Linked DNA regions of Sus scrofa. The protein of the gene in region 1 interacts with the protein of each later gene in a pairwise test. Links are inferred from orthologs where the notes say so. Each region holds a gene or a part of one and is shown in the gene's direction. Other genes may lie near its edges.

Region 1 (4,416 bases):
CACAGCTCACAGCAAGGCTGAATCCTTAACCGACTGAGCAAGGCCAGGGATCGAACCCACATGCTCATGGATACTAGTCTGATTTGTTTCCACTGAGCCACACAGGAACTCCCAGAATTAATTTTAAGCCTAAAAACAAAGACTGAATGAAAGAGGTCTTCGGATGTTCTGTGCAGGATTCGCTGTCAGGCCAGGTGAGGGTTTGGGATCATCGGGGCTTTTGGCCTCTGGGAGACTCCCGCCTTGGTTATCTGGGCTGGATTTAGAGGTGTGCAAGGGGAGGGGGGCCTGTTTCTGGGGCCCCCAGGCAGTAGGGTATGCTAGTTGGGGCTGGGGCCCTGGCCTCTGCCATTGCGTGACTCTGATGTCTCTTTCCTTCTTCCCTCACGAGGAAAGCTTAGCGGTACGTGTCGGGCTGGGGCTGGGGAGCTGCTGCGAGCTGGCACCAGCTGTACCTGAGCTCTGATTACATGAGCTTTTCCTAGTCCTAGGCGTTTGATCTGGGGCTCACACTTGTTTATTGCTCTGGGGTGTGAAAACAGCAGCAGGCAATGAGCAGGGCTCCGCCCACCTCTTTCAAGGGTATGATCACCTTCCAGAAACCTTGGCTTTGATCAGGCTATAGGCGGTGTGTTTGTGGCTGATCAGTGCCCTGTCCCCGTGAGGGTGCCTTGGAGGCGGAGAACCAAGCATTTGGTGTGGTGGACACAAGACAAGGGCGGAGACCAGACCTGGGGCCACCGCTCAGGAACCGCATCATTTTGGCTGGTTAGTTAACCTTGCTGACTTGGTGAAATGTGGGCAGCAATATCCATGTCATCCATAAGGATTCAAAGGAGATGAGGTGGAGGGTTCTTGGAGGGCAGGTTATGGTGGGTCGTCCTGACTTCCAGGCTTCTGTGCATTTGGTGTGTGGGGGTTCCTCTGGCTGTCGCTGCAGCTCTCTCTTTATTTTGTATTTATTTATGTAGCTGCGCCCACGGTATGTGGAAGTTCTGGGGCCAGAGATGCAACCCAAACCCTTAGCCCTGACGATGCTGAATCCTTAACCGCCAGGCCCCCAGGGCACTCTGACAGCTCTCCTTTTAAATCAGAGCAGCTGTACCCTGTGCTCAGGAGCTGAGCGGATCCTTGCGAGAACGACTGGGGCTGCTCCCCGAGAAGGGCGGCCAGGAGTGGGAACCCCGGTTCTGGTGGAGATGCTCGTCAGCCAGGCCTTGCGGTTGCGCAGCTGCTAATTAGTGTGCTGAGAACCCCCTCCCTCCTGCTGGCCCAGCCCTGCGTTTGTGCATCTCGCCGTCTTGGCCTCCAGGTGTTTGTTCACACGTCTGGTCCGGGTCTCCTGGTCGTGCCTTCCACACCCACACCCGCTCTGCCCACCGGATCTTATCTCGGAGGCTCCTGGCAGGTCCTTGCCCCCGCTGCAGTGCCCCGTCCCGCTCCGGGGGCTTCTTGGAGTCTCCTTTTGTGTTTGCTCTCCCCGCCACTCCCTGTCTGACTTGCCCCCCAACCTGGAGCCCCAGGTAGGCCAGAGGAGGATGTGGGGACTGCCACGTGCACTCTGCCCTGCATGGCACCCGGTGTGCCCCCGACAGGAAGGAGCCCCTTTTACGCTGTGACCGGTAGAGAGCAGAGAGTGGGTGTGCGCACACGGAGGGGAGACGACTCCCACAGCCGCCCCTTCCTGCAGGTGCTCCTTGCTCCCCGTCTGTCGTGCCATCGTGTTGGTGGCATTTTCAGTGCCAGTTAGGATTTTCCAAAGGCAGTGCCCTGTGGTCTGGACTGCAGCTGGAAAGCACTGGCTCGGGGAATCGTTGAGCCTGAGGGTGGGGAGGGGGCTCTGGTTGTGCTCCCTCGGTGGGTGTCTGTCAGAGGCTTCATTGGGCAGAGCCAGGGTGGCTGGGCTGGATTGGGTGGCCCATGAGGAGTTGGGGCTACCCCCCAACCTTGAATCCCTGGCCCCCGAAGGGAGCTGCTTGGGGAGCAGGTGTTCCCTCCCCAGCCTGTGCATTTGGTCCAGAAGGAGAGCACCGGACTAGGTCCCTGTACCCAGATCAGGTCCTGGTTCTACTGCTTGGTGGCTGAGGGACTCTGGGCAAATCCCTTAACTTGTGCATATGATGGGGAGGCCGTGGGGCCCCAGCAAACAGCTCCGACTCCCCGACGCTTTCCTTCTGCTCAGCACCCTTCAGCGTGGGGAATTGCTCAGTCTGCCTTGAACCCTGGGCTCTTCTCTTTGCACTCTGACACCTGGATCCGAAGCAGGGTGGGGGCAGGTCAGAGGAAAAACCCAACTGCCCCGAGTCTGGGGGAGAGGTGCCCCGTGTGGGCGTGACACCAGGGAGGTGTGGAGCCCTGCCCTGACCTGCCTGCTCTCTTCCAGGCCTGGAAGGATGGCTGCCGTGTTGGGGGACGCCCTCATGCTGGTCAAAGGCCTCGTCAAGCTGACCCAGGCGGCTGTGGAGACCCACCTGCAGCACCTGGGCCTTGGCGGGGAGCTCGTCCTGCTGGCCAGGACCCTGCAGTCCACGGCTGCAGAGCAGATGGGCGTGATCTGGGGGCAGGTGCAGGTGAGGAGGCCCGTTGATGGTGGGAGGGGGTGGGACCTGAGGGCCTGCTGAGACCAAGGCAGTGAAGCAGGGCACAGCCAGGATGGCTGGTCCCCCTGGGGCTATAGAGCCCACTGGCTAGTGTAGCCTTTCGTCCTTGCGGGTATGATGGTGAGGCTGCCGTGGTATGAGCGAGTTTTAGTTGGAGGAATCGTCTCAAGCTGCCCAGGTGACTGGACGAAGCCCAGCCCCCTTAAGTCAGACCAGTGATTCACCCGCACTTAGCCAGTACCTCCGGATGCCGGGTGCGGGGCGTGACAGGCCCACCCTGCCTCTCTGCCTGGCCTGACTTCAGCTCCTGGGCTGTCCTGAAGGTAGGAAGAGAGGCCGTTTCAGTTTTAGAAATTGAAAAAGTCACAAAGAGAAGACTAACAGTCCTTGTGTTCTTATGGAGGCAGCCACAAAATCCCTGCGATGCTTCCTTTGTGGAAGCAAACAAGTCCATTTTTCCCCCCACTTTTTTAGGGCCGCATCTGTGGCATATGGAGGTTCCCAGGCTAGGGGTTGAGTCAGAGCTGTGGCAGCCAGCCTACACCACAGCCACAGCAAGTCAGATCTGAGCCACATTTGTGACCTACACTATAACTCACGGCAGCACGATATCCTTAACCCACTGAGCCAGGCCAGGGATCGAACCTGTGTCTTCATGGATGCTAGTCAAATTCGTTTCCACTGAGCCACAACAGGAACTCCCCAAACAAGTTCTTTATAAGATAGAACACTTTCACCTTGTTCATCTGATCTATGTTAGTTTTTTGGTTGGGCCGATTTTGTAAAGAGGCTGCCCAGTGTGCAGGCGGGCAGGACACCCGTGTCTGGTTGGATGTCACAGCTCAGTGTCCAGCTGTCACTGGGGCCTGAGTGTCAGTGGACCTTCCTTGGGCTTCGACGGCTCTTCTCCCAATGCCAGCTGAGCCCGAGCCAGGCCGGGCCTTGTCTTCCTTCTCCACGTTGCCGCGGTCTCTGGGTGCTGATGTGGGGCTCTGCCCCTCTCCAGGGCAGCATCCTCACCTCTCGCCTCCCCCTCACTCCCTGTGCTGTCTCATGCTGAGTCCAAGAGCCCTGACTTTCTGCCATCCAAGTGGTTGTCAGCAGGGCCTGCTCCAGCCAAGTGACGGGACCCGAATCCCGTGTCCTGTGCCGGGTCTCAGACTCCTTGCCCGTCCCCCTCTGCCGAGGCTGTGCCCTGGCCGCCTCACTGGGTGCCTTTGCTGGTGAGCAGCCACCGCCTTCCTGTGGGGTGTTTGGCCTGGGGAACGCCCGGGAGTGAGGCAGCCCGCTGGACATGGGCAGCCCCCTGCCCAGGCAGGGTCCTCCCCCTACCAGCCACTTGGAGGTCGAAGGGAGTGACCGTCCCCCACCACGAAGGAGGCACTGAGCTCCCACTCTCTCCCTGAACAACTTAGACGTTGGTGTCCCCTCTCTCTGAGGGGACAGAGGGCCAGCTACTCCAGAAACCTCTCCCCCTCTGGCTCCTCAGGGGATTTGCTCACTTATTCATTCAGCAAACCCTGAGTCTGGTCCCTTTGAGACACTGGGCCCCCTTGGCTGGCACATAAACAGGTTGTGGTAACGCAGGGCTGGCTGGCGGGCAGCAGGCGGGGTGATGGGGCAGAAGGAGTTATGGGTCCGCAGCCAGCGAGGGGATTCCTGGAGTTACATAGCTCTCAGGACCCTGCCTCAGGCTTCCTCACCTCGGGGCTCCCCTGGCATCTGGAGAGATGCCCCTCCATTCAGTACAGTTCGAGTCTGTTCTGGGGAAGGGGCTGCCAGGCGACCTCGAGGCGGCCCGGGGGTCAAGGCTTAG
Region 2 (3,498 bases), on another chromosome or scaffold:
ACCCCACCCCCTCTGGCCCATTTACCAGGTCATATGGGAACCCTGCCCCAGAAAGCCTCAGGTTGCTTCCTGGCAGAGTCTATCTCTGCATTCCAGGACTGCAGTTCTGAAAAATCCCCCACAAGAGCCCACTGGCATCATCCTACTCTCTGGGGAGAGAGCTGGGGACAGACTGATTGAGTCACTTGCCCCTGGACACACAGCCCAGGAAGCTCATAAGGCAAAGAAAGCAGCCCTTCCTCCCTTGGAGAGCTGCCCATACAGTGATGGGGTTAGAATGTCTTCCCAGCAACACAGATCCCCACGGGAGGGCCCTAGAGTGGACGATTAGCAAAGGCAAGAGGATGAGTCTTTAGTTCTCCAAAGTCAGGCTTCCTCCTATCAAGCCACAGCAGCTACTTAGGAGGCCAGAGCCAGCAGCAGCCCCCTCCCTACCCCAGGGCCCCCCAGGCAATAAGTCACAATGCTCCGGCTACCCAGCCCCCCAGAATGGCTGACCCAAGTGGGAGGAGATGAGGAGGGTTTGGTGGGTGGGTGTGTGGGGAGGAGGAGATTCCCGAGAAGCCCAGCTCTCCACTGCTTGAGCTCACCCTTGAGTGTCCGCCAGGGCCCCCCATCGCCCTCCCCCATGGTCTCATCCCCCAGATTCCTACCCTTCCCCATTCCTTGCTGTAACTGCCAGCTCCCTCCATGACCCAGCTCTGCTCATCCAGGCCCAAGGGCCCTGCTTATTCTATCCCAGGCCTTCCCAGGGGCCTGGGTGCTGGGGAAGGATCGGGTAGCCCAGTGGGTCCATGTGTGTCTCCTGGGGGCCCTAGCCCAGCCCAGCTCCTGGACAGTGTCCTAGGGCTGGGGGCACTGGGGCTGACAATTTGGGCCGTCTTTTCCACAACTGGCCCAGCCTCACTGCTGCTGCTGCTGCTACTCGTCAGCTTCCTGGCCTTCGATCTGCTCCACCGGTAAGTGCACAGCAGCTTAGCAGGCGGGCAGGTGCACAAGTGGTCAACCTCCCAAAGCCCAGCTGCCACCCTTTCTCGCCACAGGCCTGCAGGTCCCACCTGGCCACAGCACACACATCCACGTCTCACAGGGGGCCAGAGTCAGGGCGCCGGCGAGGGTCCGGGACAAGTGGAGGCTCTACTCCTGCCCACGGTGGGCACAGGACAACTCGCCCTCCAGGAGGCTCTGCTGATGCTGCTCTTGGGCCTGGGGCTCCTCCTGGGAGCCCGTGGCATGCCCTTGACCCTGCTAGCCCTGGCTTTCTGTCTCCATCCTTGGGCTTGAGTGTCCTCCAGAAATACACTGGCCATGCTATTTCCTCAGGCCTTCTTTCCTCCACCCTGGGCTGGGCAGATGGAAGGATACTCTTTCTCCTCCAGCCTGAACCCCAGGGGAACCTCTGCTCCCACAATAGGGACAGTGGATACCTAGGTCTGAGTCCGAGGACATCGGCCAAAACCGAGATAAAGGACAAGGAGCCCAGAGGAGGATGTGGTAGCCATCTCAGAGCCCGTAGGTTGGGGTGGCTAGTCTGGCCTCCTGGGTGGTTCTAGAGAATGAGGGTCCAGAGAGAAAGACTTGCAAGAGAGCAGAGTGGGACTGGATATCAGCCAGCAGGGAAGGGATGAGGGGATCCGGAGAGGGCTTCCCACAAGGAAGCATGAGAAACTCCCCTGCCAGTCCAGAGAGTCCATGAGAGAGGCTCAGGTAAGGCTCATGCTCACACCCTCTCTTGGCTGGACCCCACCCCAGCCCGGGTCACAATGGGGCTCCTCTGGGGAGGGTGAGGGGAGTGAGAGTGGGAGCTCAACTCTGGCTGCCAGGCCGTCCTGGGCGCTGCAAGAAGCAACATGACTTAGGTGGCTCTGCCAGGAGGTAAGACCCAGGCCCCAGCTCCAAGCCCCACCCCACCCATGCTGGTACCCTCCTGACCCCTGCTACCACCCCCACCCACCCATCCTGAGGTCCCAGGCATCTCCAGGGCTGCTCCTGCAGCTGGCCTGGCCCTCTCCCCAGGTGCACCAGCCGTGATGCAGCAGCTGCGAGTGGAGACAGATGCCACCGGAGCCGGTGAGGGGCCACAGCGTGCTGTGCCCTGGACGGCCTGGCTCACACGGGACAGCTGGGTGCGCTGGTGCATGTGCCACATGCCCCCGAGCTGGGCCCAGTGGTGGATCACATCGGGCTGGCGGCAGCCGCTGCAGCGTGTGCTGTGGGGTCTGGAAGGGATCCTCTACCTGCTGCTGGCGCTGATGCTCTGCCATGCACTCTTCACCACCGGCTCCCACCTACTGAGCTCCCTGTGGCCCGTGGTGGCTGCAGCGTGGCGCCATCTGCTGCCGGCTGTCCTGCTGCTGGCGCTCAGTGCCCTCCCCGCCCTGCTCTTCATGGCCTCCTTCCTGCTGCTGTTCTCCACGCTGCTGAGCCTCGTGGGCCTCCTCACCTCCATGTCTCACCCAGGCCTTGCTCAGGACTTGGACCAATAGAAGGGCGACCCCATCCTGCTGCCTGTGTCTGTTGAGCCCTGGCCTAGGGCCCGAGGCCCAGGGGAGAGGGAGGGCAGTGGGACCAGGGCCTTCCTGCCTCGGCAGGCTCCAGACCTTCAGTCCCTAGCTGGGGCTGGTCAGGGCCTGCTGGCAGGGTAGGGGCATCTCTCTCAAGCTGATCCTCCAGGTACTTGGTATGGGGGGCCAGGGCATAGGGCAGAAGGCTGAGCTGGGAGCAGAGCTAGGCCAGGCCACCCAAAGCTCCCACGTGCATGTGGTGACACCCCTGGGACACCCTTAGCAGCTGGCAGCATCTTTTCCTTGCAGCTGCTCAACTGTCTCCGCTTCGAGCTCACAGAGAACATCTACCTGGGTGCCCCTGGACTTGTCATTCACCCCGCCAAGCCCGTCTTTCCCCTTCCCCAGGCTCTAGAAAGAGCCCAGTGACAGAAACTTGGCTGGGAGAGGGCCGGCCAGAAGCCACATGAGACCTCAGCCAAGCCTCCTCCCAGATTTTCTGCCCATCCATTCCCCACTCCCTAGACTTCCTACCTCCTGCCTCAGTCTACATCCTCAAGTCTGGGAAATGGGCCAACAAGGGTCATGAGGTTCCCAGAGAGCACCTACGGCTTAAGACTCCCTAGGTTTGCTAGGGAAAAACAAGTCCCATTTCACCCACCTACGCAATGTGTGGCCTTCGCCAATTAATTCTTTTGAGCCTTGGTATAAAGTGGGTCCTGTCATGGAGCTGTTGTGAGTCAAAGGCAATAATACCAATGTGTGAAGGACTTTGTATAAAGGCCAACAAGCCAGAAGATAAGAAACTCTAAAGAGCAGAAAGCTTCTCCAGGGCTTCAGAGAAATGTTCTGGCATAGATACAGTTTGGACCATACAATGGTAAACAGAGGATGGATGGGTGTGAACAAGAGGTAAAAGGTTGTGTGCCATGGGAGTTCCCATCATGGCTCAGTGGTTAACGAATCCGACTAGGAACCATGAGGTTGCGGGTTC
Region 3 (5,085 bases), on another chromosome or scaffold:
AATGGACATGGATTATGATATACTTGTGAATATACTTATTGTGAAGACAAACATCTGGAAAGAGATAAAGTGTTTTCTACATAAAAATACAAAATGAACAATAAATGAAAGCCAAGAATCCTGATTATATATTTCCTTCTCCATATTTCTGGAAAAATAAGTTAAGATACACATGGAGTAAGATTCATTCTTTTGTAGTTGCCTTGGGGGGAAAAAGGCTGTTTCTGTCACCACCACAAAGAACATAAATATTTGTATGTTATTTGCTATTCCTTATAATATGCTTAGGCTCTAATCTTTGTGCCTTTAACAGCCACCGCTGCTATGGCTGCTGTTTCAGTAAAACTCAGAAGCATGAATGTGAGCTCATGTCACCGCCCACCGGGCCTGCTGTCACTTTCCCAGCCCTAAAGTAATAAAAGGGCAACACAACAAATGCATGGAGCCTTTTCTTATACTTGAAATTCTAGTCTCCCCTCCCTCCGTGCTTGTACCCATGTGAACTTCAATCAAGCATAAGCTGTGTCCTGAGGCTGCTTAACAAGATACTTGGAATTACGGGCTTTTGCGCAAATTCCACGTCACGGGCTCCTTAGTTATGAAAATTCACATGTATTCCCATTCGTTATTAACGTTGACATCGTACCCCATTAGTTATCAAGCCCGCCTCGCCCAGCGGCTAAGGGTCCCTCGGTGTCGCTCACCACCGTGCACGGCCACGTCCAGCCTGGCTCTCCGGGTCCCGGGCGCCGCGTTCTGCACCAGCAGGCGCCCAGGGTCGGACCTGCAGCCCAGCAGGTGAGCGCTGCCGCGGGCGGGGCTGGGGTCCCTGGAGGTCAAGAGCCGCCCCGAGAGCGTCCTGAGGCGGGGACAGGCCTGGGCGGTAGGTGTCCCCAGCACGGGTTGCAGTCCTGGTGCCCAGCAGATGCTCAGCAATGCCGAATGAATGAACAGCGGGCGCCGCGGGGACTTGACTTCAAGTCTGTTCTGCAAACGTCCACGAGCGCCATCCGGGCGTCAGGCACCAGCGGGGCGCGGGACCTACAAGACTCATTTCACAGGTGCTGTAATTCTACGCTACAACGTCCCCATTTTCTCCTAAAACAAAACGGGGGGTTGGGGTTCTCTCTGTTCTGGAGGCTCAGACCAAACTGCAAACGTGCAGCGGCGCAGCGGCCCCGCGGCGCGCTTCTCGCCGCGAACGCCACCCTCCCTGAGGGGAACGCGCCCAGCTCCCGGCGCGCCCCGCGGCTCGGCGGCCGCGGTCCTGAAGGGGACGCTGTTCCCGCGATAACCTCGGCGGCCGCAGACCTGAAGGGGTCGCTGTTCCCGCGATAACCCCTGTAAAGGCCCCGCCCCGCGGCCCCGCGACCGCGGCCCTGAAGGGGTCGCTGTTCCCGCGATAACCCCCGTAAAGGCCCCGCCCCGCGGCCCGCGCTCGCTTCCTCCGTTGGGGACCCGGCCCCTCGCGGCGCGGACGCCGGCCGCTCTCCTGGAAGCCCACCGCGGCCCCGCCGGCGTTCGCGGCAGCTCCCCCTGAAGGGACAGGCCCTGCGTCCCGGCCGCCGCCGCTCGGGCGCGCGGCCGGCTCCGAGGCGCCGGTTCTCGCCGCCGCCCCGCCCTCCCCCCACGGAAACGACAGCTGCGGCGGGGCCGGCGCCGCCTCCCTCCGACCACGTCCGCCCCCGCCGCGCGCACCCCGCGCCCCAGCCCGGCCGCCGCGCCGCCGCCTCCCGGTAGGTCCGCCGGCCGCCGCGCCCGGCTGCCCCCAGGATGAACATCATGGACTTCAACGTGAAGAAGCTGGCGGCCGACGCGGGCACCTTCCTCAGCCGCGCAGTGCAGGTACCGCGCGGGGGGGAGGGCGGCGGCGCCCGGGGGGCGGGGAGGGGTCGCCGAGGCGGCCGCGCCCGTGGTGCCGGCTTCCGACCGCCCGCGGGCCTGCTGCGGCCGCGGCCCCTGAGGGCGCGGCCTGGTACCCTCTGCGCCCGGCGGCCGTTTTCCTGCCCTCCTGCCCAACCGCCGCTCGGGCAGGCGCCGCGGAGCGGGGCCGGGCCGGAGCCTCCCTTCCTCGGGAGGAGCGGGGCCGGGCCGGAGCCCCCCTTCCTCGGGAGGAGCGGGGCCGGGCCGGAGCCCCGCTTCCTCGGGAGGAGCGGGGACGGGCCGGAGCCCCCCTTCCTCGGGAGGAGCGGGGCCGGGCCGGAGCCCCCCTTCCTCGGGAGGAGCGGGGACGGGCCGGAGCCCCGCTTCCTCGGGAGGAGCGGGGACGGGCCGGAGCCCCCCTTCCTCGGGAGGAGCGGGGACGGGCCGGAGCCCCCCTTCCTCGGGAGGAGCGGGGCCGGGCCGGAGCCCCCTTCCTCGGGAGGAGCGGGGCCGGGCCGGAGCCCCCCTTCCTCGGGAGGAGCGGGGACGGGCCGGAGCCCCGCTTCCTCGGGAGGAGCGGGGACGGGCCGGAGCCCCCCTTCCTCGGGAGGAGCGGGGACGGGCCGGAGCCCCCCTTCCTCGGGAGGAGCGGGGACGGGCCGGAGCCCCCCTTCCTCGGGAGGAGCGGGGACGGGCCGGAGCCCCCCTTCCTCGGGAGGAGCGGGGACGGGCCGGAGCACACCTCGAGCTCGGCCCCGGGCTGCGGCACCTCTCCTCCTGCCTCTCCGACGCCGAGGCCGGGGCCTGGGTGCGCTCCCTCCCGGGCGGGCGGAGCCCTTGCGCGTCCGCGAGGGGCCGGGAGACGGCCGTCCTTGCAGCACCCCCGCCCTGTCCTCCGGGCTCGCTCCTCGCCGGGTCCGAGAAGGAAGTTTGCTTTCCTAACCCTCTGTCGGGACAGCTGCCAGCACAGCGCCCCGCAGTCCTGCGCCCGGCTGCCCGCGTCCGGACTCAGCCAAGGCCGCGGGCTGGGGTCCCACTGGTTTTCAAAGTGGGGAGCACAGGCAGTGGGGCAGCGAGAGAGGGGGTGGGGTTCTTGTCGCGCCTCCAGTCACAGGGACATTTTTCGAAAACACTTTAGGGGGAAAGTTGAGTACCTCGCGTATTCAGAAATTAAGGAAGTGTCAGTCCTGGGAACTCGGGACAGTTTTCTGCAGGCGCCACCCACACTGTGCCACCGCGGGGAAATCTGTGAGCAGGTGTGAATTTCACAGTACGGGGTGTAAACAATCTGGCGTTTTAAGTTAATGGCACAGTCACAGTAGCAACAGCATTCTCTTTTGTAAACAGAAAACAAAAATAGTTTTCTAATGTAACATACCCGGCTGGTACTGAAATGTAAGTCATTGTGAAACTTTACTGCTTTCCTAGTTGCCTTTAGCCCACTTTTTTTGGCATAGTTGACGCTGCACGATGCTTGACTTGTAGAAGAATGGAAGAATTAGAGCAAGACACTAGCTGTTTATTTTAGTGCAAATTCTCAGTGATTCTGGTGCTGAATGCAGATTTGACACTAGGTAATGCCACTTTGAAATAAAGCTGGATGTTTTCGGGTACATAATCCCCACTGCTTAAGTAGGACATACGTATTATGGTTTGATTGAAGTGGTTGATCAACTTCATGTAAAAAATCTGGCACAGCTCTCAAGATGTGCTTCCCACGTTAATTTCAGTTATTCACTGTTTCAAATTCTCTAGGAAAAAGTTTGAAAATTCTATCTTCTGTTAGTTATCAAATAATTTTCAGTCTTAAATACTTCACTGTCTGCTCCACATCCGCATGTTACTGCTGTTTTGGCCAGTAGTGATACAGCAATAAATAAAATCGCCAAAATTTCTGCCCTCCTGGAGTTTACAGTCGAGCGGGAAAAGACAAACTAAGTACATTAGAGAAAAAAGCCAAAAAAGATTAGTTTAGGACAGGGGTGGTGGTTGCTGCTGTTACATGAACATATTGGAAAGGGCAGTTTTTTCTGTTAGGATCAAATTCAGAAAGACCTCAACGAAGTGACACTTCTCCCCTTTTTTTGTTTTTTTGTTTGTTTGTTTGTTTCCTTTGAGGAAAAGCATTTCAGGCAGAGGTAACAAATGCAGGATCTGAGGTTGCAGGGGTGCTAGAGAGACCAGTTAGGGAGTTGTGGCCCTAGGTCAGGCAAAAGGTGATGTGACTTAAATAAGAGGAGGTTCAGAATCTGTCCAGTGTTGAGTGTCATATTGGCTCTGGGTTATGAGAGAAAGATGAGTCAAGGATGACTCTGAGGTTGTGGCTTGAGCCATTTACTAAGAAGGGAAAAATTTCAGGAGGATCAGGCTCCTTTAATGTGTCTTTTTGTATTAAGTCTGTAATATATATTGCGAAATATTTATGTACAAACTATGTCATGTCTGAGAATTGCTTTAAAATATTTCAGAAGAAAAAATGTGGATAATTGAAACAGTATTGGCAAAAGGTTGATACTTGCTGACGCTTGGTTATGGGTTCATGAGGTTTTATTATACTACTATACATTATGTGTGACATTTTCCATGGTTTTTTAAATAAAATATGTAAGGAAAAAGAGGTGGTTGCAAAATGGAACGTGAAATCTGGAATGCTATGTGGTAATTTTCAACAAAATACTGCATTCCCATTTCATTATTTAGTCAGTAACAGAGTTCCTGCTCTAAATTGAGTTGACCTAAGTGTTGTGCCAAAAAGTGCCAAGTTTCATGCTAAGAATAGTGTAAGAGCTATGCCAGTTCCTCATTACAAGCAATAAGATCAGCAGGAATGGAATTCAGCTTTAATATTTCTGAATAATAATTTCTATTCAAATAAAATTACACCTTAAGGAATAAGCCATTCTTTGGTTAGACAATTGCCATACATTTTTTTCATTTCAGTTAAAAATTAAACATGTCCCCTGTTTTAAAAAAGTAAAATAGAACTATTCGAGCATATAAATGGGTCCCATCACTCCACTCCAACTCTTCTAAAATTTGTCTCTATAACTCAGGACTTTTTTAAGAATATTAAGGTGAAATGTATAAATGAATAGTAATATTCATTCTCTAACAATCCATTTGGCTGTTTTTGTTGTTCTTACCTCCCTCAATAGAATACTAGGATCCAGTATTTGCCTTGGGAAATTGATCATTTTATTAGTCTTAAAAAACATTTATTCT

The links.
Region 2: the proteins of COQ8A (region 1) and TMEM239 interact in binary tests that used the Homo sapiens proteins (3 or more experiments, as listed by UniProt). The two-hybrid records come from large-scale screens. The link is inferred for Sus scrofa from reciprocal best matches to the Homo sapiens genes COQ8A and TMEM239.
Region 3: the proteins of COQ8A (region 1) and SH3GLB1 interact in binary tests that used the Homo sapiens proteins (3 or more experiments, as listed by UniProt). The link is inferred for Sus scrofa from reciprocal best matches to the Homo sapiens genes COQ8A and SH3GLB1.

Annotation. Positions count from the first base shown.
Region 1 is NC_010452.4:14,617,240-14,621,655, forward strand, and holds part of COQ8A (atypical kinase COQ8A, mitochondrial), read left to right. Parts: intron 1-750; exon of another isoform or gene 751-768; intron 769-1,685; exon of another isoform or gene 1,686-1,690; intron 1,691-2,262; exon of another isoform or gene 2,263-2,266; intron 2,267-2,383; 5' UTR 2,384-2,393; coding exon 2,394-2,570; intron 2,571-4,416. UniProt on the Homo sapiens protein: Atypical kinase involved in the biosynthesis of coenzyme Q, also named ubiquinone, an essential lipid-soluble electron transporter for aerobic cellular respiration.
Region 2 is NC_010459.5:32,837,148-32,840,645, reverse strand, and holds TMEM239 (transmembrane protein 239), read left to right. Parts: upstream 1-1,556; coding exon 1,557-1,593; intron 1,594-1,712; coding exon 1,713-1,866; intron 1,867-1,957; coding exon 1,958-2,486; downstream 2,487-3,498. Other genes in the region: C17H20orf141 (uncharacterized protein C20orf141 homolog), read left to right, coding at 691-959, 1,044-1,284.
Region 3 is NC_010446.5:129,392,160-129,397,244, reverse strand, and holds the start of SH3GLB1 (endophilin-B1), read left to right. Parts: upstream 1-1,773; coding exon 1,774-1,845; intron 1,846-5,085. UniProt on the Homo sapiens protein: May be required for normal outer mitochondrial membrane dynamics. Required for coatomer-mediated retrograde transport in certain cells. May recruit other proteins to membranes with high curvature. May promote membrane fusion.